5 linked regions of the Solanum lycopersicum genome follow. The main gene of each other region encodes a partner of the protein of the gene in region 5 in a complex. Links are inferred from orthologs where the notes say so. Each region holds a gene or a part of one and is shown on either strand. Other genes may lie near its edges. The genes, in order: NAD(P)H-quinone oxidoreductase subunit S, chloroplastic; NAD(P)H-quinone oxidoreductase subunit T, chloroplastic; ndhI; photosynthetic NDH subunit of lumenal location 1, chloroplastic; NAD(P)H-quinone oxidoreductase subunit N, chloroplastic.

Evidence for each region.
Region 1: NAD(P)H-quinone oxidoreductase subunit N, chloroplastic (region 5) and NAD(P)H-quinone oxidoreductase subunit S, chloroplastic share a complex: the UniProt entries of both Arabidopsis thaliana proteins name them as parts of the chloroplast NDH complex. The link is inferred for Solanum lycopersicum from reciprocal best matches to the Arabidopsis thaliana genes NdhN and NdhS.
Region 2: NAD(P)H-quinone oxidoreductase subunit N, chloroplastic (region 5) and NAD(P)H-quinone oxidoreductase subunit T, chloroplastic share a complex: the UniProt entries of both Arabidopsis thaliana proteins name them as parts of the chloroplast NDH complex. The link is inferred for Solanum lycopersicum from reciprocal best matches to the Arabidopsis thaliana genes NdhN and NdhT.
Region 3: the proteins of NAD(P)H-quinone oxidoreductase subunit N, chloroplastic (region 5) and ndhI are in contact, whole or in part, in a cryo-EM structure (PDB 7WFG), measured with the Arabidopsis thaliana proteins. The link is inferred for Solanum lycopersicum from reciprocal best matches to the Arabidopsis thaliana genes NdhN and ndhI. Residues at the interface, in NP_200634.1 of Arabidopsis thaliana: His81, Asp102, Ile103, Ser104, Ala105, Arg106, Gly107, Leu108, Gly109, Asp110, Pro120, Cys122, Pro123, Ala124, His125, Leu126, Gly127, Ile131, Arg133, Val163, Leu164, Ser165, Lys166; in NP_051113.1 of Arabidopsis thaliana: Tyr44, Ile76, Asp77, Leu78, Pro79, Val80, Val81, Asp82, Asn96, Ser98, Asp100, Ile103, Glu124, Glu126, Thr129, Tyr130, Glu134, Tyr137, Asn138, Ile140, Ala141, Arg144, Leu145, Pro146, Met147.
Region 4: NAD(P)H-quinone oxidoreductase subunit N, chloroplastic (region 5) and photosynthetic NDH subunit of lumenal location 1, chloroplastic share a complex: the UniProt entries of both Arabidopsis thaliana proteins name them as parts of the chloroplast NDH complex. The link is inferred for Solanum lycopersicum from reciprocal best matches to the Arabidopsis thaliana genes NdhN and PnsL1.

Annotation. Positions count from the first base shown.
Region 1 is NC_090807.1:67,426,906-67,430,298, reverse strand, and holds NAD(P)H-quinone oxidoreductase subunit S, chloroplastic, read left to right. Parts: upstream 1-1,457; coding exon 1,458-2,210; 3' UTR 2,211-2,334; downstream 2,335-3,393. UniProt on the Arabidopsis thaliana protein: NDH shuttles electrons from NAD(P)H:plastoquinone, via FMN and iron-sulfur (Fe-S) centers, to quinones in the photosynthetic chain and possibly in a chloroplast respiratory chain.
Region 2 is NC_090808.1:63,749,400-63,753,572, forward strand, and holds NAD(P)H-quinone oxidoreductase subunit T, chloroplastic, read left to right. Parts: upstream 1-1,641; 5' UTR 1,642-2,018; coding exon 2,019-2,410; intron 2,411-2,496; coding exon 2,497-2,917; 3' UTR 2,918-3,120; downstream 3,121-4,173. Other genes in the region: monothiol glutaredoxin-S2-like, read left to right, coding at 686-994; uncharacterized protein, read right to left, coding at 3,121-3,313. UniProt on the Arabidopsis thaliana protein: NDH shuttles electrons from NAD(P)H:plastoquinone, via FMN and iron-sulfur (Fe-S) centers, to quinones in the photosynthetic chain and possibly in a chloroplast respiratory chain.
Region 3 is NC_007898.3:119,536-122,433, forward strand, and holds ndhI (NADH-plastoquinone oxidoreductase subunit I), read right to left. Parts: upstream 1,491-2,898; coding exon 987-1,490; downstream 1-986. Other genes in the region: ndhG (NADH-plastoquinone oxidoreductase subunit 6), read right to left, coding at 52-582; ndhA (NADH-plastoquinone oxidoreductase subunit 1), read right to left, coding at 1,575-2,114. UniProt on the Arabidopsis thaliana protein: NDH shuttles electrons from NAD(P)H:plastoquinone, via FMN and iron-sulfur (Fe-S) centers, to quinones in the photosynthetic chain and possibly in a chloroplast respiratory chain.
Region 4 is NC_090809.1:53,936,606-53,940,553, forward strand, and holds photosynthetic NDH subunit of lumenal location 1, chloroplastic, read left to right. Parts: upstream 1-1,570; 5' UTR 1,571-1,717; coding exon 1,718-1,844; intron 1,845-1,922; exon of another isoform or gene 1,923-1,936; coding exon 1,937-2,023; intron 2,024-2,091; coding exon 2,092-2,165; intron 2,166-2,245; coding exon 2,246-2,368; intron 2,369-2,487; coding exon 2,488-2,559; intron 2,560-2,645; coding exon 2,646-2,742; intron 2,743-2,815; coding exon 2,816-2,919; 3' UTR 2,920-3,125; downstream 3,126-3,948. UniProt on the Arabidopsis thaliana protein: NDH shuttles electrons from NAD(P)H:plastoquinone, via FMN and iron-sulfur (Fe-S) centers, to quinones in the photosynthetic chain and possibly in a chloroplast respiratory chain.
Region 5 is NC_090808.1:66,281,848-66,286,880, forward strand, and holds the start of NAD(P)H-quinone oxidoreductase subunit N, chloroplastic, read left to right. Parts: upstream 1-1,830; 5' UTR 1,831-2,100; coding exon 2,101-2,239; intron 2,240-3,730; coding exon 3,731-4,095; intron 4,096-4,187; coding exon 4,188-4,304; intron 4,305-4,398; coding exon 4,399-4,484; intron 4,485-5,033. UniProt on the Arabidopsis thaliana protein: NDH shuttles electrons from NAD(P)H:plastoquinone, via FMN and iron-sulfur (Fe-S) centers, to quinones in the photosynthetic chain and possibly in a chloroplast respiratory chain.

The sequences.
Region 1 (3,393 bases), on a different chromosome or scaffold from region 5:
TGAATTTATTATCAAATATTTAATGAATCCTATAGAGACAAAAAAGAATTCTTTTCGTCCCCATTCTGGCTATTGATAGGAATAATTTACGCTCCAATTTATGCAAATTCAATGTGTACACTATATACACCTTTTATCAATACTTATTATCTCTAAATTGTGTTTAATAATGTATTAAAGAAAAATGGTATGAAATAGCAAAATATGTTATTCAAATTAAATAATATAGCTATGATTTATTTTGTTTGTAATTTGTCACAAACATTCCATTCTTTTGTAATCTGATTCGCTATACAATTAGTCATTTCCGATATATAATTAGACATTTTATATATTTCGATATAGAATGTATAAAATGTGTTTGTGTTTGTATGAAACGAGAGAAAAGATTATATACAAATACATACATACATACATACATACATACACACACATATATATATATATATATTCGTTCTATATACTTATGATTATATAAATCTAGATCTTATTATACAAATTACAATTTATAAATGAATTTATACAAAACTGAACAATCTGAATAAAATTGGATGTATCTAGCGAATTATACAAATCAAAAACTCCATAGCAAACATAAAATTTATTATGGAACGCAATTATGCAAACTATATTTACAACATACAAATATGATTTTTATGTTTGCAATTTGTGAAAAATTACGTCTTTAAAAAAACAACTTTAGAGGCTATTTAGATGAACTTAAAAAGTAACTTTTAAATCAAAAATAAAATGTCAAACTTAAATGATTTATAAGTTAAAAAATAAAAGGCAGAGGAAGACCTACTTTTGATTTTAAACTTATTTTAAGTCATTTTAAAGTTATTTTTAACTTTGTCAAACACTTTCTGACTTATTTTAAGCCATTTTTTACTTACTCTAAGTTATTTTTTATATTTATCGAACACTTCCAAAAATAAAAATAACTGACTTTTAAATCAATTCAAACGCCCTCTTATTTAATCAACTATATCTTCTACAAGACCCCTTTCACATGTGTGGTCCTGACTTTTAGAAATTCCTTTTGATAACAAATAGCAACATAGCGCGAATCTAATACCTCTATATACTCTGATCATCAAGTTAAATCATATGATCATTTTTTAAAAAAATCTTAAATTATTAAAGAAAAACATAATATATCTCGTGTAATTTCATAAATGAATATAAAAATTATAATTTACTTTTAACGCAATTCCTCACGTGTGGTCCTGATTCTTTTTGAAAGGATGGTGTAAAACATGAGTGCAAGTTTAATCTTTTTCCAAGGAAGATAACATCATTCATGTGTTTCATTTGTCAATAGAAGATATCAAAACAAAAACAGATTGGTGGTCAGAATTTGAAAGGACAAATTACAGTTTCCCATTTCTACTTCTCATCTCATCCTCTACCATCATCTTTCCCAAATCCAAAGTTCTTGAAAAAAAATCAAAACCATGGCTTCTGCTTCTTCCTTTCAACTCTCAAGCCTTCAAATTCAAACCCCACCTCTTAAAAAATCAAACTTTCTTGGTCAATCTGTCAATCTCAACCTCAGTAGTAGTGTTCATACCAAATCAGCTATGAAATCATCTTCAAACTCAGTTACACCAATAGCAAAATTCAATCTTTATGAGATTCTTGGAGGTAGAGGTCTGTGTAATGGAGAAGAGGGTATAGAGAAAGAGCTAAAAAAGTCGATTTCCGAAGAACAAAAGGCAGTAGGATCAGCAGCAGCAGCAGCTAGTGATGATGATAATCAAGAAAACAAGGAGACTGGGGAGATACCGGAGGACGGATTTGAGAAAGAAATGATGGGGTTTACTGGCGGATTTCCGGGAGGTGAGAAGGGTCTAATGAAATTTATAGAGAAAAATCCACCACCACCACCACCCAAGAAAACAGAATCAAGTATGGTTTCTGGTTTTAATCAAAGTCTTGTGAAGAAACCAAAGCCACCTGAATTGCCACTTTTGTTACCTGGGATGATTGCTATTGTCAAGAATTCTAATAATCCATATTATATGTATTGTGGGATTGTGCAGAGGATTACTGATGGTAAGGCTGCTGTGCTTTTTGAAGGTGGGAACTGGGATAGGTTGATATCTTTCAGGCTCGAAGAACTCGAACGTAGAGAGAAAGGACCGCCAATGGTGAATCTTAAGTCTGTGATACTTGAGAAGATGGTAGAAAAGAGCTCTGAAGCTTGAATTGCTTCAGTTTTTGAGTAGATTGTTTGTTCTTTTGTCTTTTGGGTTGTTGTACATACAAGCTGTAAGTTTTGTAATGGCAATGGCATGTAATAAGAAATGCAGAAAAACTTTTGTGCAGGAAGAGTTCTGTCCCAAATGAGAAGTTCAACTCTTAGCAGTGATGTTCGAAAGAACTCTTAACAAAAACAACGTAAAAAATAAGAATCAGGTAATTCAAACCACTTGCAAAACATATAGTCAAATATTTAATATGATTGCACAAGATCTAGTTTTGTTTAAGTAATGAATCCTAGCATGTTCTTCTGATCAATTCATAGATCATTAGATACCATCAGTAATGAGGATCTGAAATATCACACGTTTTATCGAGCAAAGAGAGAGTCTAGCAGAACAACAACATACAGTATTTAACAGTGAGTGATAAAACAATTCTTACTTTTCACAAGCATGAGGTACCTCTGACACCACATATGGTGGATCTTAGACTCCATCCAATTGGACAACAGGTCGATATCGATGTAGATAAGTTCAATAATGATAGCTAGCCTGAGAGAGAGTATACAATGGTGCAAACTGCAAGATTTTGACAGATTCTCAAACAGATGGACCAAAATTTTATAATGCATAGTCTGCAAATGTTTACATTCAGTATCAAGGTAGTAAGCCAATCCACGCATTAGCCTCCAATGTCTAATGATCATTAATTAAAGATGTCATTTGCAGAATACACTTATAATTCCAGAAAACTGTGTCAGTTATACCATACATGCAAAAGAAATCACCCAAATGTAAGCCAGACGTCGAAAAACTATGTCCTCTGTCTGCACATCTTCGCCTCAAAATTAGTTGCAGCCACCTAACTGTAAAAGTGGAGAAACAGTTTTAAGGGCAGTTATTGGCAGATTTTCATAGAATTATCTCTAGAACAAAATTGTTTGGCTTGAACTTAACAAATATGGCATCATGAATCTGTCTTCGCAGGTTAGTATCTATATGCTTGTGTTTACATCTTAAGCGCAGATTGCAGAATGTGAAGTGATGGAAATGAAGATTATATAATTAACACAGTAAGGCATGGACATATTAGTTGAGGCTCTGTACATTCTATCACTGCTCTTTCCAATTACGAATTTGCTTTTGTTTTGACAGTATCTCAATTAGACTACGAGAGAAGATTGTG
Region 2 (4,173 bases), about 2.5 Mb from region 5:
ACCTTTTTCCTTGCAACATCGTCAATTCCATTAATATCCTTATCAATACGAGGAAGATATTTAGCGGTAATTAATTAAGATAATTATTTAATTATTATTAAATATGTATTTTTAGTGATAATTTAGTATTTTTTTTATAGCATTTAGTAACATTGGATTTAATAGCACTTAACTAATGTCGATAAAAACTTTAACACTCTTTACTAATATATTTATTTACTTTCGTTAAAAGTTATTTTTGAATTAGTGTATATACATGTTTTTAACCAAAAAAGAGATAATTTATTGATTGTAAAACCCATGTGTTTAATTAGAAGAAGAATTTATATTGGAACTTAATTGGAAAAAAAATATGTAGATATGTAACAAAGTTCACTTACTAGCCTCCATACTTTATGGTGGATTTTTTTTTTATATATATATTTTTGGTACACTTTTAAGACAGTATCAAGAACTTCTAATGCTATCTAACAGTATCAACTCCTTATCTAAAAAATTATTCCTTCCTTTAATTTATTTGGGTGGGGGGGGGGGGGGGGGGGGGGGTTTAGAGGAAGCATATTGAATCTTCACAAGTCACTATTAGTATATAAATAGCTTCAATAAGAGTTTCAAATTCATCATCAATTCAACAAGTTATCAATTCTCTTATATTACATTAATCTTTTTTTTTCATTAATTAAAAATGGAGTCATTGAAAAAAATGGTAGCTGAAAAGCCAGTGGTTATGTTTAGCAAAAGCAAGTGTTGTATGTGTCACACTATAAAGACACTTATATCAAGTTTTGGTGCTAATTTAACTGTATATGAATTGGATGAACTTCCCAATGGGCTACAAGTGGAGCGAGCTCTGCTGATGCTAGGCCGAAGGCCTAGCGTGCCAGCAGTGTTTATTGGACAAGAATTAATTGGCGGTGCCAATGAGATTATGAGTCTTCATCTAGAGGGAAATCTTGTTCCTCTACTCATGAAAGCTAAAGCTCTTTGGCTATAGTGTGTATATATATATATACACTTTTTTTTTTGCTTTACATATCTAGTATGCGAAATTTACTGGCATGATTAGTTCAGACTCACGCTAGTAAAACTACAATATATCATGTAGAAAGTGCATATTAACACCTTGTAAGTTTGGTTTTTCTTAATGTTTGTGGAATTGAGCATCTTTTATTTAGTATGCTCAATGAAAACTCTGTTTTCTCAAACAAGTGTCTTTTAATGTATCTTTAAGCATTGTAATAATAAATTATATACAATGCCATACTTCAACATGACTTGTCATTCTGTTTTAATTATTTTTGTTAGATGCTTGAGTATGAAGTTGTGTTTCCTCGAGATGTGAATCCAGGATTTAAAGTTTGTAAATTCGGAATCTATTCAAAAAAGTAAAATATGTGATATTTGTATAATGATCCTGCCTTGTGAATTGAAAGCAAGATAGATTTAAAAAGGGTTAAAAGAACAACTTGGCTCTCTTTTATTTGCCACAAAAAAGAAAATAAATTACATTGACCTCCACTTCAACAATTCAAAAAACAAGTTACGAGTTAGCTCATCCTATAAAATTAGTTTAAATATATGTCAGCTAACTTGAATATCATGATAATTATATAAAAAGGAAAATATAGAGACAAGGGGTGTGTTGCGTTCCGAACACTAACTCACAAACTCATTCTTTTTGCCACCCAACTCCCAAGGAGTATGATTGTATTTATAGGTGGCAATGAGCGGGTAAGACTGAATTTGTTCGGGTTAAAAATGAGCTGAGTTAATAAATAGACAGGTCATTGATCCGCCCAAAAGTTACTTGGACTGAAATGGACTAAAACGTGGATCATAACTCAACCTGTCCAACTTACTTTTATAATTTTTTTAGTACCTTAAAGAATGTATATAAATTGTCTTGAAGTTAAAGAGTACAAACGTCAAAAATCAAAATTATTGATATTTCACAAATGTAGACAAAAAAGCAAACAAAATGTTTAGTTATTTCCTCAACCACACAGAAAGACAAGGTGATGAGAAAGCCCCTCCCTCTAAGACTACTCAAATCAGACACAAAACAAATTTCCAATTCCATGGCGTCAGCAACAGCTCCACCAGCTCCATTCACCTTTCTTACAAGGAACCAAACCAATAATGAGCACAGAACAGATACCAGATGGTTGACAACAAAACAAAGAAGACGCCGTGTTGGCTTACAAGTTTATGCAAAAGAAGAAGGGGCTACTGGGCGACAACGTGCTCCTCCTGGTGTTGACACAAGAATTCACTGGGAAAACGAAGATGAAGGATGGGTAGGAGAGAGTAAGTCACGGTCCACACAAGAACGAATCAAAACAGACGAAAAGAATCTCTTTGATGAAAAATTCTCAGACCTCCTCAACAGTTCAGCTAATTCTCACTACCAGTTAGTCTTCATTATCTACTTTGCTATCTTCATCTTATCTCTTAATGTGTGGCTCACAGTTCATAATTCTAATGTTTCAAATTCAGGTTCTTGGGAGTATCTGCAACAGCTGATCTAGAGGAAATTAAAGCTGCATATAGGAGGCTATCAAAGGAGTATCATCCAGACACAACTAATCTTCCTATAAGAGCAGCATCAGAGAAATTTATGAAACTAAGAGAAATTTATGATGTCCTGAGTGATGAGGAACAACGGCGATTCTATGATTGGACACTAGCTCAGGAGACAGCAAGTCGAGAAGCAGAGAAAATGAAAATGAGGCTGCAAGATCCACGCATGCTGGAAGTAGAAAACTGGGAATCTGTTCCAGACATGGTGGATCGACTTGGTGGAAGGAACATGGAGCTGAGTAATCAGGCAAAAACTGCCCTCACATTTGATATCTTGATTATCATCTTTTCGTTTTGCTGCATTATATATGCAGTAGTCTTCAAGGAACAATATTAACAGGAACAACTATGTGCATTATACAACAACAATATTCTATACTGTCAATACGCAGTTCATACACTGCAATGACAATGGATTGGGAAACAGAACGACTAGAGCTTTAGTCATAAGTATAACTATAGTTTATTTCTATTGAGATTACAAATTTACACTATTGTCTTTTCATGAGATTATTGACAGCAAATGAAGAAACAATTCTCTCATACATCAATAAAATCTTTCATGATGGGGCTATGTTTCTCAATGTTAGCCTGCCTACGCCAATTACTCACTGCATGCTTAACGGTGTCACTGGCTTTCTGTATTTCCTCAGCAGAAAATTTGTGTTCCACAATGCCTAGTGGACCAGGTTGTAGTACCTTAACTACAGTTTCCATATCCAGCTCCAGTTGCCTGTTAAAACAAACACCAAAATAATGCTGAAAGACATGGAAATTCATATTCACAATTTGATCTTTGTGTCTCATTCTGGTCTAAAAGAGAATATTAGGAAAATCCAATTGAAGAGTGCTTTGAAGCGCACGTTCCTATCAATCTGCATTTAGATACCTACTCTTCAATCAATAAATAATAACAAAGAACAAGAAAACACCAACGGTCATGCTAATTGCTAAATAGAAACAAGAGTTTCTCGTTTCTTGATAACACAACTCCGTAATTCTCAAGAGTTTGATAACAACTCCGTAATTCTCAAGAGTTTGATAAGTTCTAAAATTTCACTTACTCTTCAAATATCAAATGAATTAACTAATGTAATCCTACAACAGAAGTTGGCACCTTCTCTCAACCAAAAAGGAAAAGAATACTTCTATGTTATAATAGTATTAAACTGCCATACACATTGTTTTCTGTAAGATATAGAACTCCCAACACTTGGACCTTTTTCCTCATAAATGTGGTTCTGGTCCAAGCTTGTGCCACACTGACTAATTCCACTGGGTACCAGCTACTTCTCACCAGTGCAGGTACCAGATAACTCTGCCCAAGCTCATGAATACAAGTTATGCTTTGGAATGAAAGACAATTCCAAATCCTCTTGGTCTACGAACAAGAAAGCTATAAGTAATGCAAATATGAATCTTCTCATGGAGAGTTTGATCCTAGACACCTAATGCGTTTGTCTCTCTTGGGGATTGAGCTTGAGACTTCATGGTCCTCAACCCACTTCATTGACCACTAGGTCACGTGCTTGGGTAGTAACAATTTGAACATTTACAAGGCTATGTATTGGAGAATTAGCTCTAAGATGTTCT
Region 3 (2,898 bases), on a different chromosome or scaffold from region 5:
GATAAGACAGAACAAAATTTTATTTGAATTCCAAGTTTTAATAGAAATTTTTTATTGACGAGCTACAGCAATTGCACCTATTAAAGCAACTAAAAGGATTATGGAAATAAGTTCAAATGGGAGAAAAAAATCTGTTGATAAATGAATTCCAATTTGTTGACTATTACTTAGAAAATCTTGCTCTATAATCTGGTTTGATCTTGTAGTCCAAATAATCCCGTACCATGACGTATCTGAAATAGTAGTAATTAGTGAAATAAAAAGACTTATACAAACCATCGAAGTAATTCCATCTCCTACGGTCCAAAGATGAAAATCCTTGTAATATTCTGAGCCATTCATGAACATCACAGCAAAAATGATTAAAACATTTATAGCTCCTACGTAAATAAGTAGCTGCGCAGCAGCTACAAAATAGGCGTTAGATAGAATATAGAATAACGATGTACAAACAAGAACCAATCCCAAGGAAAAGGCCGAATAAATTGGATTGGGAAGTAATACCACTCCTAGACCCCCTAATATAAGACCCGATCCTAGAAAGACTAAAAGAAAATCATGTATTGGTTCAGATAAATCCATTTTTTATAAAAAATCAAAAACGAAGAATTTCATGACTTTATTGACCTGACCAGGAAAAAAGCAGTTTTTCTATTTTTTATGATACTTTGAAATTGTTAATTGAATGAAAGTCTAATGGGTATGAATTGACGTAGATGCTTTTATTTTATTGGACCACTATCCATTCTTTATTCGTCGAAAGAGGAGTTTAAACCTATCTATTTTTGATATCATTTATCTACTTTGAAACCATTACTATTATAATATATAATATTGAACTCGGTTTTGTTTTCAATCTAAATTAAGCTTAAGCTAGGAGTCTCATTAAGAAACCACTAGTTTGAATTGCCCAAGCAAAAATCTCATTGTTTTAGATCCGAACTAAGCCTTCGTAATTTGTAATTTTTTTGAATCAAATTAAGGGTTTATTCATTGTTTATTTGAGGTAAATTCGAAATTGTTCGAATTGTGTAATCATCAATTACTGACATTGGTAAGCGACCCAAAGCGATTTGATTATAATTCAATTCGTGACGATCATAAGTAGAAAGTTCATATTCTTCGGTCATTGATAAACAATTTGTTGGGCAATACTCAACGCAATTACCACAAAATATACAGATTCCAAAATCAATACTGTAATTAAGCAATCGTTTCTTTCGAATATCAGTTTCCAACTTCCAATCAACAACGGGTAAATCTATAGGACATACACGCACACATACTTCACAAGCAATGCATTTATCAAATTCAAAGTGTATTCGGCCTCGGAAACGTTCCGATGTGATCAATTTTTCGTAGGGGTATTGAATAGTTACAGGTAAACGATTTGCGTGGGACAGGGTAATCATGAAACCTTGGCCGATATATCTGGCGGCTCGTATTGTTTGTTGACCATAATTTATGAATTCAGTTATCATAGGGAGCATATGTTGAATATCTATAAAAAAGATTTTATGCTTGTTTCTTTCTCTTGTTTGAGACAAGTCGTGAATCTAGGATATTGTGGTCTTTTACAGTGAAAGAAGTTGGGACGAGGTTGTCAATAATAGATTACCTAGAGAAATCGGTAAAAGAAATTTCCACCCAAGATTTAATAGTTGGTCCATTCTCAGCCTCGGTAAAGTCCATCTTGTTGCAATGGGAATGAACAAAAACAAATAAGTTTTGGCTAATGTGATAAAGATACCAATTAGTGTTCCAAAGACTTTACCTCCTTTATTTATGCCAAATATATCAGGAACAAATATGTACGGAATAGAAAGATTCCAACCTCCCAAGTAAAGAACTGTTACAAATAATGAAGAAACTAGTAGATTCAGATATGAAGCAATGTAAAATAAACCAAATTTGATACCAGAATATTCGGTTTGATACCCTGCTACTAATTCTTCTTCTGCTTCTGGTAAATCAAAAGGTAATCTTTCACACTCGGCGAGAGAAGAAATTAGAAAAACGATAAACCCGATGGGTTGACGCCACAAATTCCACCCCCAAAAACCATATTTTGACTGCGCTTCCACTATATCAACTGTACTTAAACTGTTAGATAATCATAGTCGATGATAACATCACTGTGCCCATCGCTATTACAGAACCGTACGTGAGATTTTCACCTCATACGGCTCCTCAGAGGTCACAACTAAATCTAAGGGCCCTTTCCTATTCTTTATCTTGATATGTTTGTCAGATAGAGTCAAAATCTATTCTAAGGTCCCAAATTAGACCAATGGAATTCTGTCTGCTATATTTAAAACTAATAAATAAGTGCTTCTGAATTTATCTCATCTTTTAAGAATTTTAATTTTTCTTTGTTGATTAATAACCTTATCATTAAATAAAAAAATGTGCTTTATAGCAATATCACATATACATTTCAACCTCGAATTTTCAATTACGAAAAAAATTAGAGAGTACATTAGTTCATGAATCATGACAAAAATTTTATCTCTCTAAATAGAAATAAAAATTGAATTATAGGAAAGAAAGAATAAAAACAAAAAAAGACATCCCTCCTTTTTCCTTTTGCAATTAGCTTCTTTTCTTTCTATTTCGATTTTTTTATTTCATTCCTATTCTCCTTTCTCAGAAAAAGGGTCTTTAACCAAAGTAAAAGATTACTTCGTTCTTGATAGTTAGTTACTTACTCAGTGGATAGGAACATACTCTGGATCAGAATCATGGGGAGTACTTCTTGATCATTTCTACGAACGTAAAGCCCCAATTTGAATTCCTTTTATGTACAGAAATATCCTCTTGGATAACTTACATAATCTCAATTACTAATCCTTTGTGTATCTTAGTCTTCCTAACCATCCACTCATTTTTTGTTTCAAA
Region 4 (3,948 bases), on a different chromosome or scaffold from region 5:
TCACAAGGTCTATATCACCAAGTCAAGCTTGTAGACGCAATCCTTGCTCATTGAATTGGTGGTCATTTCGTAGTTGATGACCCAAATGAAATTACCACACCATGAAGAAATGTCATGCGATAAGTCTCATCAGCTTGAAACATTTCAAGTTGAAAATGAGTTGATAAACAACTGAAATTCAAATGACCTCTTACAAATTAGAAAATATTGTAATAAAGACTATGGTAAATGTTGACCTTAACATATCGACATGGTCATCTCTCATGAAGCTTCAAATGTCTCGTGAAAGATCAACTACGATAAAAAAAACATTTGCTTCACAAATACTTCAAGGCTTGTCTTTACAAGTTCGACAAATCAAGCACCTCAACAAGCCTCAAAGTAGGGGCATTTGTAAACACTGAAGTTTTATTGATAAATCCATATTACATTTGGATTAAATCTTAAATCACCATATGTTGACCAAGTCAAATTACTGGTTGATAAAGTCTAATTAATATCTAAGCCAAAATTGTATGACTTAAATCAAGTCCAAATCATTTGGATCATTCCATTAAGTTGACAAGATGAGCCCAACTCATGTTCTTCAGGCCCAGGGATCAAAATTGCTCAGACCAAAATACCCTAAAGCCCTAACTCAAGCCTATATAAAGAGGTATTCTTCTGACCAAAAGGACAAAAAAAAATACATATACACAGGAATACATAATTGCTTTTCAGCATATAAAGAAGTCTTCGCTCCAAGGGTTGAGCCGCAAGTATTCCGCCAAATCAATAACATCTGTGAAGAGAAGAATCAGGGGATTAAATATCTTTTTGAGATATTTTATAAAGATTGTAACCTTAGTATTAATTCAAATACAAATATTATTGTTTGCTTGCTATTTTTCCTTTCCTGTATATTGTATTTCAGGATTGAAACTTTAGACGCATACACTGAGATTTGGATCATCCAAGGTACATTAACATGGCGTACTCCACCCCTGGTACCCTTTGATCATTCTTCAATTATATTTGGCGTTGCATTTACACAGTTGATGAATACCTCCACGCTAGGATGTAAATTGATCATTGATGCATCGCCAGTTGGATTTCCTTTCAAATAGCTTGTGCTATACAGTGATTGAAAGAACCTGTGCTTGGTTTTTCCACATCAACATGGGTGCATTTGATATCACATTTCATATGGTCGAGTTGTTAAAGTATCATTATCTTAAATTCTTCGAAGTCAATTGTTAAGGTTTTTAGCATTGATCAACCCATTAATTTTTAAGTTATAAGTTTACATTTACTATCTATTGCAATTTTGATGAATTTTTACACATAAATTTATATTTCGCATTAAAAGTACTGAGTTCAGATAAACTCGGTATCAATACATTAGATCCGCCTCATCCATCAAGGATTCAAGTTTGTGCTGTTGTTACATACAGATATTTATGACATGGTAAACTTGTGAAAAATTTGCAAGAACAATTAGTAAAAATTATCAATGTGGATATAGTCAAATTTTAGCCCCACATATGAAGCACAGCTCATTTAGTTGTAGTTGAAAGAGACATAAAAGCCCATTTGGACCTTGGCAGGAAAGGTCATCCTCACATTTAATTTGCATCTTATCCTATTGAGCAAGAAAAAATGATGGAAAAAAAAGTGATTGTATTAGGAGAAAAAATAAACATGTTAAGCAAAAATCTAGTGATTTTTGTCCACAAAAATGGCAGCTACTTCACTCTCATTGAATCTTGGGCTTCCATCACCAGCAGCCAACAATTTGAATAGGCATGGCTTACACAACATTATTACATGTTCGGCATCAGAAAACACGTCCCCTAATCAACAGAGTAAGAAAATTTCATATCGATCAATTATGAAGTCATGTTTGCATTTACGCCATTTTCTCCGTGGTAAAATTCTACTAGTATCTCTGTTTCAGGATGCTTGATGAGAAGGTCATATCTATTAGGAGCAGGGGCTCTTTCGTTGGGTTTATTATTACCCGCGACTCCCCTTCTAGCTCAAGGTACTCTGTTACTATAATTTTTATTCTCTAAACTTTTTACTTTTTATAATTAAATGACGTGTATGCAGGAGTACCGGAGAACTATGAAATCTTTGTTGACAAACGAGATGGTTATTCGTATTACTATCCATCAGATTGGAGGGTATGTTGCTTCTTTTTTTTTTAAGAAATGAATTTTTAGAAATTAGTAAACTCTCATTTTGACTTTGGATGTATGTACAGGAATTCGATTTCAGAGGTCATGATTCTGCATTTAAAGATAGGTATCTACAACTGCAAAATGTAAGACTTAGTTTTATACCAACTGATAAAACAGATATCCATGATTTGGGGCCAATGCAAGAGGTAAATCGCGGTACTATTCATCTATGTAGCCGTTTTTTATTAAGCTATCAAGGAGGAGAAAAATATAAAAAAGACATGTATTTTCTTCGTCATACCAACTTATTTCTACTTTCCTAAAGGTTGTGCCCGATCTGGTAAAACATGTTTACTCTGCACCGAATCAGGTGGCAAATATAATGGAAATGAAGGAGGTATGATCCTTTCTTATTCTCTTGATTGTACAATATACGTAGCTCTTTTTCAATTAGTCACCATATTTTTGTTCAAAATTATGTAGAGAACTACGGATGGGAAAAACTATTTCACCTTTGAATATGTATTGACATCTCCAAATTTTTCGCGGGCAGCATTTGCTACTATAGCAATTGCAAATGGTAAGTGATCTGGTTTGTTTCCTTTAACTGTACATTACATTTTTCTGCATTCGTATTAAGACATTTCGTACAGGGAGATACTACACATTAATCGTGGGAGCGAATGAAAGGCGATGGAGAAAATTCCGCAACAAACTTAAAGTGGTGGCTGATTCATTTCAGGTGTTGGACATTTAGAATTGTTCTAAGAGCTGCAATGATAGAGTCTTGTTCCATGAAACAGGATTTGCAATTTGTTTATTGAATTACAGTACAAAGAATGTTTCTGGCTATCCCATAAGTAACTGAAATCCCCTTGTAGTTGAAGCGGTGAAGTGTTAACGACAAATTTTAAAGTGATGGAAAATAAAGCACAAATAAAGTACGGCATGATACATATCTAATCTTGGTTTCAAATTTTAACTTTGACCTCCAACGTTCATAGTAAACAAACAAACACTTCAATTATCTAACCCTTTAATAAATAAACACGCGAGTCGTACCTGGCAAACATGTAATGTGCATGTATTTTGTGCGAGTTAGGAGTAGTAATTTTTGAGGTCCACAATGGTAAAAAAATGCTGAAATAACAACTCCACCATTAATGAATCCCTTTTATATATTTTTTTATATTTCCAAATCAAAATTCATTTAAATTTTTTTTAAATTCTAAAATGGACGCATAAAATATTTAATTAGTTGGCAGTCATTGAGTGGCTCACTAATATACGTGGGAGCATTTGCATTTCACTCTCTTTGTCTCCAAAAATCGTGTGTTTATTTATTTAATGGTATGATAGTTTAAGTGTCTATTTGTGCACTATTAAAGTTGGAGGTCAAAGTCAAAATTTGAAGTCAAGTTTAGGGTCCAATATATGTATTATGCCTATAAAATATGATGAAACACAGTTTTTCATTGGTATTTGCGAGTATAAGTTCTCTTGATTTTTCTCTCTGAATTAAATCTGTTATTCGAGGGTGGTTAGTAACATATTTCTCGAATATATGATAATTTGGACCTCTTTGAGATATATTTGATTGTAAGGCAATATTTGATGTCTTGATCTCTTTGTGAATATTCTAGGAGTTTATGACATATTTGACATACCTCTTCAAGGGAATATATTACCCTTATATAAACGTGAACTAGGTTTTAGAATAAAGTAACTTTTACCCTTATATAGGCGTGAACTAGGATTTAGAATAGAGTAACTTCTGTGAACTGTA
Region 5 (5,033 bases):
TTAACGTAGATTTCTGCCTCAACATATGGAGCAAAGTTAGTAACCTCTAGATATTTGATCGAGTCATTCTATGGATTATATTTCCCCAAACGTGATTCAATTTTAAGCAAAATGTCCCCATTTGACAAAAAAGGGGCAAACCCTACAAACATGGTATAAATTCATTATGAGACTTGATAGTAAACAACTTTGTCCTAGATTCTTCAACTCCATACTCCGCATAACCCAGATGTCTGCACCCTGCATGTAATTACAGAACACAGAAAGATCACTTTTAAGCACTCCTAGTAAGAAATGACCATAATCATTAAAGTTAAAATTGCAGCGCTTTTCTATCTCTACACATTTCTCATCACACAAATCAATAGAAGAAATGTTCATGCCCATTTCAATCCAATGAAGTTTCCCTTACACAAGCTTACCCCGAAAATGGAAAAAAAATCTATCTTTAAACTCCGTTAATACGCCTCCCATAAACTCCTTAGACAATATATCTGGACCTCAACACGACATAGACGCATATTTCTGTAAACAGGGCAAACTCCCACTACGTTGTAATCATCTTGAAGCACATCAACGCAAAACCAAATCTGCTATCCCCAGGTTCCTCCACTTGATATCCACCACATCGATTAAGTCTATAACTAGGCAACTTGCTATACTTTCTAATTGACGGATTCCATATAAACAAGTCATGCAATTTGTTACATAGGCAACACAAATCAATCTGTTTACCGAACCCACCAGCCAAGGATAGTCTTTGGAAATTTTACCTGGATAATCCAAGTCAATTACCTCCTTTACAGAATGGCGATGTAAATCACTACACATAACTAGCCAACATAAATAGCAACCTTAAACATAACTCCTTGTTACTAGCACAAAATAAGAGATGCGTCTTCACAAATTTAGGGATAGAGATTAAGGAAAGCCAAGATTTCGACACAGACCTGAATTGTAAAAGGGATTTCACCGGAAGCCTTAACAAAACTAAATCTTTGCTTGAAATGGACTGAATTTCCATGGGTTTGCTCCGCTTTGGGAGGCTTCGTCCTCTTTGGATTCCATTTGGGTTTTGCAGAAATGGGAAATCTTTGAGGTTTCGATAGGGAGATTACTATATAAAAAGCCCTAAAGTTTGTCTTTTTTATTTTCCCTCTTACAACAGAGCTGGTTTTAGTTTTTATGTTTTAATACTATATAAATAATATTTTCACTGGTAATTTATATTTTAAAATCATTATATATTGAGTGTTGGTTATATTTTGTTATCTTAAACAACTTATGTCTTATAAGGTATAAATTTATTTTCAAAATATGATGCAGGAATCAAAGCACCATAGTACGTGTTCTAGTTAAAGGAAGGAGATATATGTGCTCCAATTATTTTTGGAGTTCTGTTATGTGTTTCAAAAGTTTTACTAGTAATTATTGTGAAACATTGTCTTTTTTAGATGTTAATGGTCGTATCACAATTCATATTTTATCTGTGGTGAACGTTCTTACTCCTTATGAATTTTACAATGAATACTTAACTTTGTTTTATTTTAAAAATTCAAAATATAAAAGAATAAAAATTAATTTATTTGAAGGACAACTTATGCAATTAAATAGGATGTTTGGAAATTTCATAATCTTTACTTGGATTTTGGATTTTCAATCCAAAATATATAAATTAGGTTTAAGTTTGGCTTTTGTTCTTTTCTAAATCACAAAATTATTTCATTAAAAAAGTTACAATAGAGTTTGAACTCTCACCTTATGATTATTATTCTAGCTATGTTTGAATATACAATATAAAATTAAAATTTGAATAACTAATTTGAGATTATGTTATCTCAAATTTTAAATTCTCCCCAAAACATCATTTCAATTTTTAAAATATAGAACTTATCCCATAAATTTATATAGCTAATATTATTATGCATATTTAAATATTTGTTATTTGTAATTTCTTTATTGTAAAGTTTATCAGCACATTTATTGAGTGGCAAGGAACAAAGTAGTCATCTTTGTCCAAGTTTGCAATGGTCCTTCCACAGTCTCTGTTGCTATAGCTGCCTACTGCCACCACTCACACACTGCCACCAAAATACCCAAATGACAACTCTCTCCTACACCTTCCCTAGCACCACCAGCAGCAGCAGCAGCACTAGGAGGTTCTTGATTACTAGCAATGGGTCTTCTTGCCGGCGGCGCCCCAATATTTCCACTGAAGACCAACCCTGTTCCTCTTCAGGTCATCCCCAATAACCCCTTTCTCTGTGTGTGTGCGCAGTGTGAAGATTTATAATGCTTAATTGATATTATGGGTTGTTACAATATCTTGATATTAGGGTGATCACTAAAAAAGTGAAAAGATCAAGACTTTGTAATAATATTGCATCTGTGTGAGGTGGGGTGTTAATTTTTATTTTTTTTTAAAAAAAAGGGGTTCATATTGGTGGTTAAGGCTTGAGCACCTCCTACCTTTGAGGTAGTTTAGATAGGCCTAAAACTTAATTTTACATGGTATGAGTACCAGGTTCATTCCCGGTGTGAGCTTTTGGTTCTCGCTCTCAAGGGGCCTAAGCGTGAAGGAGGGTGTATGGTTTTGCGATTGAGTTAGGTCCGGATGACAATATCTTTACGGACTTGATAACTTAATGGTTGATTCAAGCTTGTTAAATGTAAATATTAAGTTATGTAGGGAGTGGAAGTATGCATTTTACTTAATAATGTTTTGAAGTTGTGTACAAATTCAGCTTCAACTCACATTTGTTCCCAATTTTCAGCTTTATGGTTCAATATCATGGTGTGTGTGTGTGTGTGTGTGAAGATGTATAACGTTTAGTTGCTATTATGTGTTGTTATAATATCTTGATATTAGGGGGATGGTTAAAGAACTGAAAAGATCAAGACTTAACTTAATGGACTATTCAATCTTGTTAAATGTGAATATTTAGTTGAGTAGGGAGTGATATGTACACTTTACTTAATTCTGTTTTTAAGCTATGGTTTGGGTGTGTAGAGATTCAGCTTCTACTCGCATTTGTTCCCAATTTTCAGATTTATAGTTCAATATCACGGTGTGCGTGTGTGTGAAGACGTATGCTTAGTTGCTATTATGTGTTGTTACAAAATTAGGGTGATGGTTAAAGAACTAAAAAGATCAAGACTTGATATCATAATGGGTGATTCCAGCTTGTTATATGTAAATATTAGTGGGGTAGGTAGTGAAAGTGTACATTTACTTAATTATGTTTTGAAGTTTTGTTTTTTGGGTGAGTAGAGATTCAGCTCCAACTCACATTTGTTCCCGATTGTTATTGTTTTACATGGTATGAAATCCAGACTTTCCCTAATATTGGTCTATAAAGCTGAAAATGTTTGTGCTTACTGTTATGCACTGTCACATTAAGCAGTGCATTGGCAATGTTTCTAGCCATTGTTGACAATGGTAAAAACTGACTTCTGGTTCTCGAGTTTCACAGGTTGCTTACAGTAGGCACCCTTTCAGTTCTCCCTGTAACATAATCTTATCAGTTCTCTTTGGAAAATGACTTATTTATAACTTTTTCTACCTTTTACATGTGGAAATGCACACTTGCAGCACCAAAATGATACTGTTATCCTGTTCGCATTAATTAAATTTTGAGAGTGATGTCTTAACGTTCAATGTTTTTCATTATGATGCCTTTGTTCTTTCGGTCATGTACCATGAAATCTGAATTAAAATGGCAAAATGCAGCCTGTTATCAAGGGGCAGTGCAGTCTTATGGTCTGCAGAAGCAACGAGTACAATTAAATGGCATATCAAAGGCTGTGAGAACGAGAAGACTTGATTCAGTTGGAAGACAAAAGAAAGGAGCAATTAGATGTAACATTGAACTTCAGGACTTCATAGGTGGAGATCTCATTAAACCTGATTTGGGTCAATGGTTATCAGATGTGGAAGAACACAAAGCCATAGCAATTTACTCTCCTCATGAAGGGGGCTATGAAGGACGCTACCTTACACGTCTTAAGTACCAGGGATATCATTTCTTGGACCTTTCGGCTCGTGGCCTCGGTGACCCTGAAACCACTCTTACCAAATTCCACCCTGTCTGCCCTGTAAGTTTAGCAGTTCGCATACGATATGCTTATTCTCAAACACTAACTTGCAGTGTCTAATTGACTCTCATCTGCAAATTTTGATGTTGCAGGCTCATGTTGGTAAGCAACCAATAGCTAGATGGTATTTTCCTCCAGAAGTTGATTATAGGCTTTCTTTACTTCCTCCGGATGCTAAAGGATTAGTGGTTTGGATAATAGAAGCCAAGGTTAAATCCACCCCTTCAAGTGTACATCATCTAATTAGTCCATCAGCAGTATTTTGACTAGATCTTTGTTAACTGTTTGACCTAAAATGTTCAGGTCTTATCAAAGGCAGAGCTGCAGTTTCTTGCTTTACTCCCGACACTTCGTCCTAATGTGAGGGTCATTGCAGAGTGTGGTAACTGGTAAGATTTTCCTTTCATCTTCCTTTTTCTTGTTTATCAATCAACTCTCTTGTAAATAAGGAAACTTTGAGATCTTGTCGTTGTGGTTAAAACAACATTGTATGCAAAAGCTACCTGGATTTACTTCAGTTTAGCCTTCTGTGGTCAATGCTACATACTTTATCATCATTCTTAGCTTGTAGATGCAAGAGTCAGGACAAGTACTTTAATAAAGATAGCATCTTTTGGTTTTCTTTTTTTTCATCTTTTTAGAATTGCCGAAGGTCAATAGTAAACAACCTCTCTACTTTTGAGGTTGGGCTAAGGTATACATACACTCAACCCTCCCCATACCCCAATTTGTGGGACTACACTGAATATGTTCTTGTTGTTCATCTTTTTGAGAATTGAATTCCCTTCTATTCAAGAGGTGCATGCTCATGTTAATTTTTGAATATATGTTCATTACATAACTATTCTATTTACATCCCCTTGAGCTGCGGCCCTTTCCTGCACCTTGCGTGGACACAAGATCCTTCGTCCACCGGGCTGCCATATCCTTTACTTTTA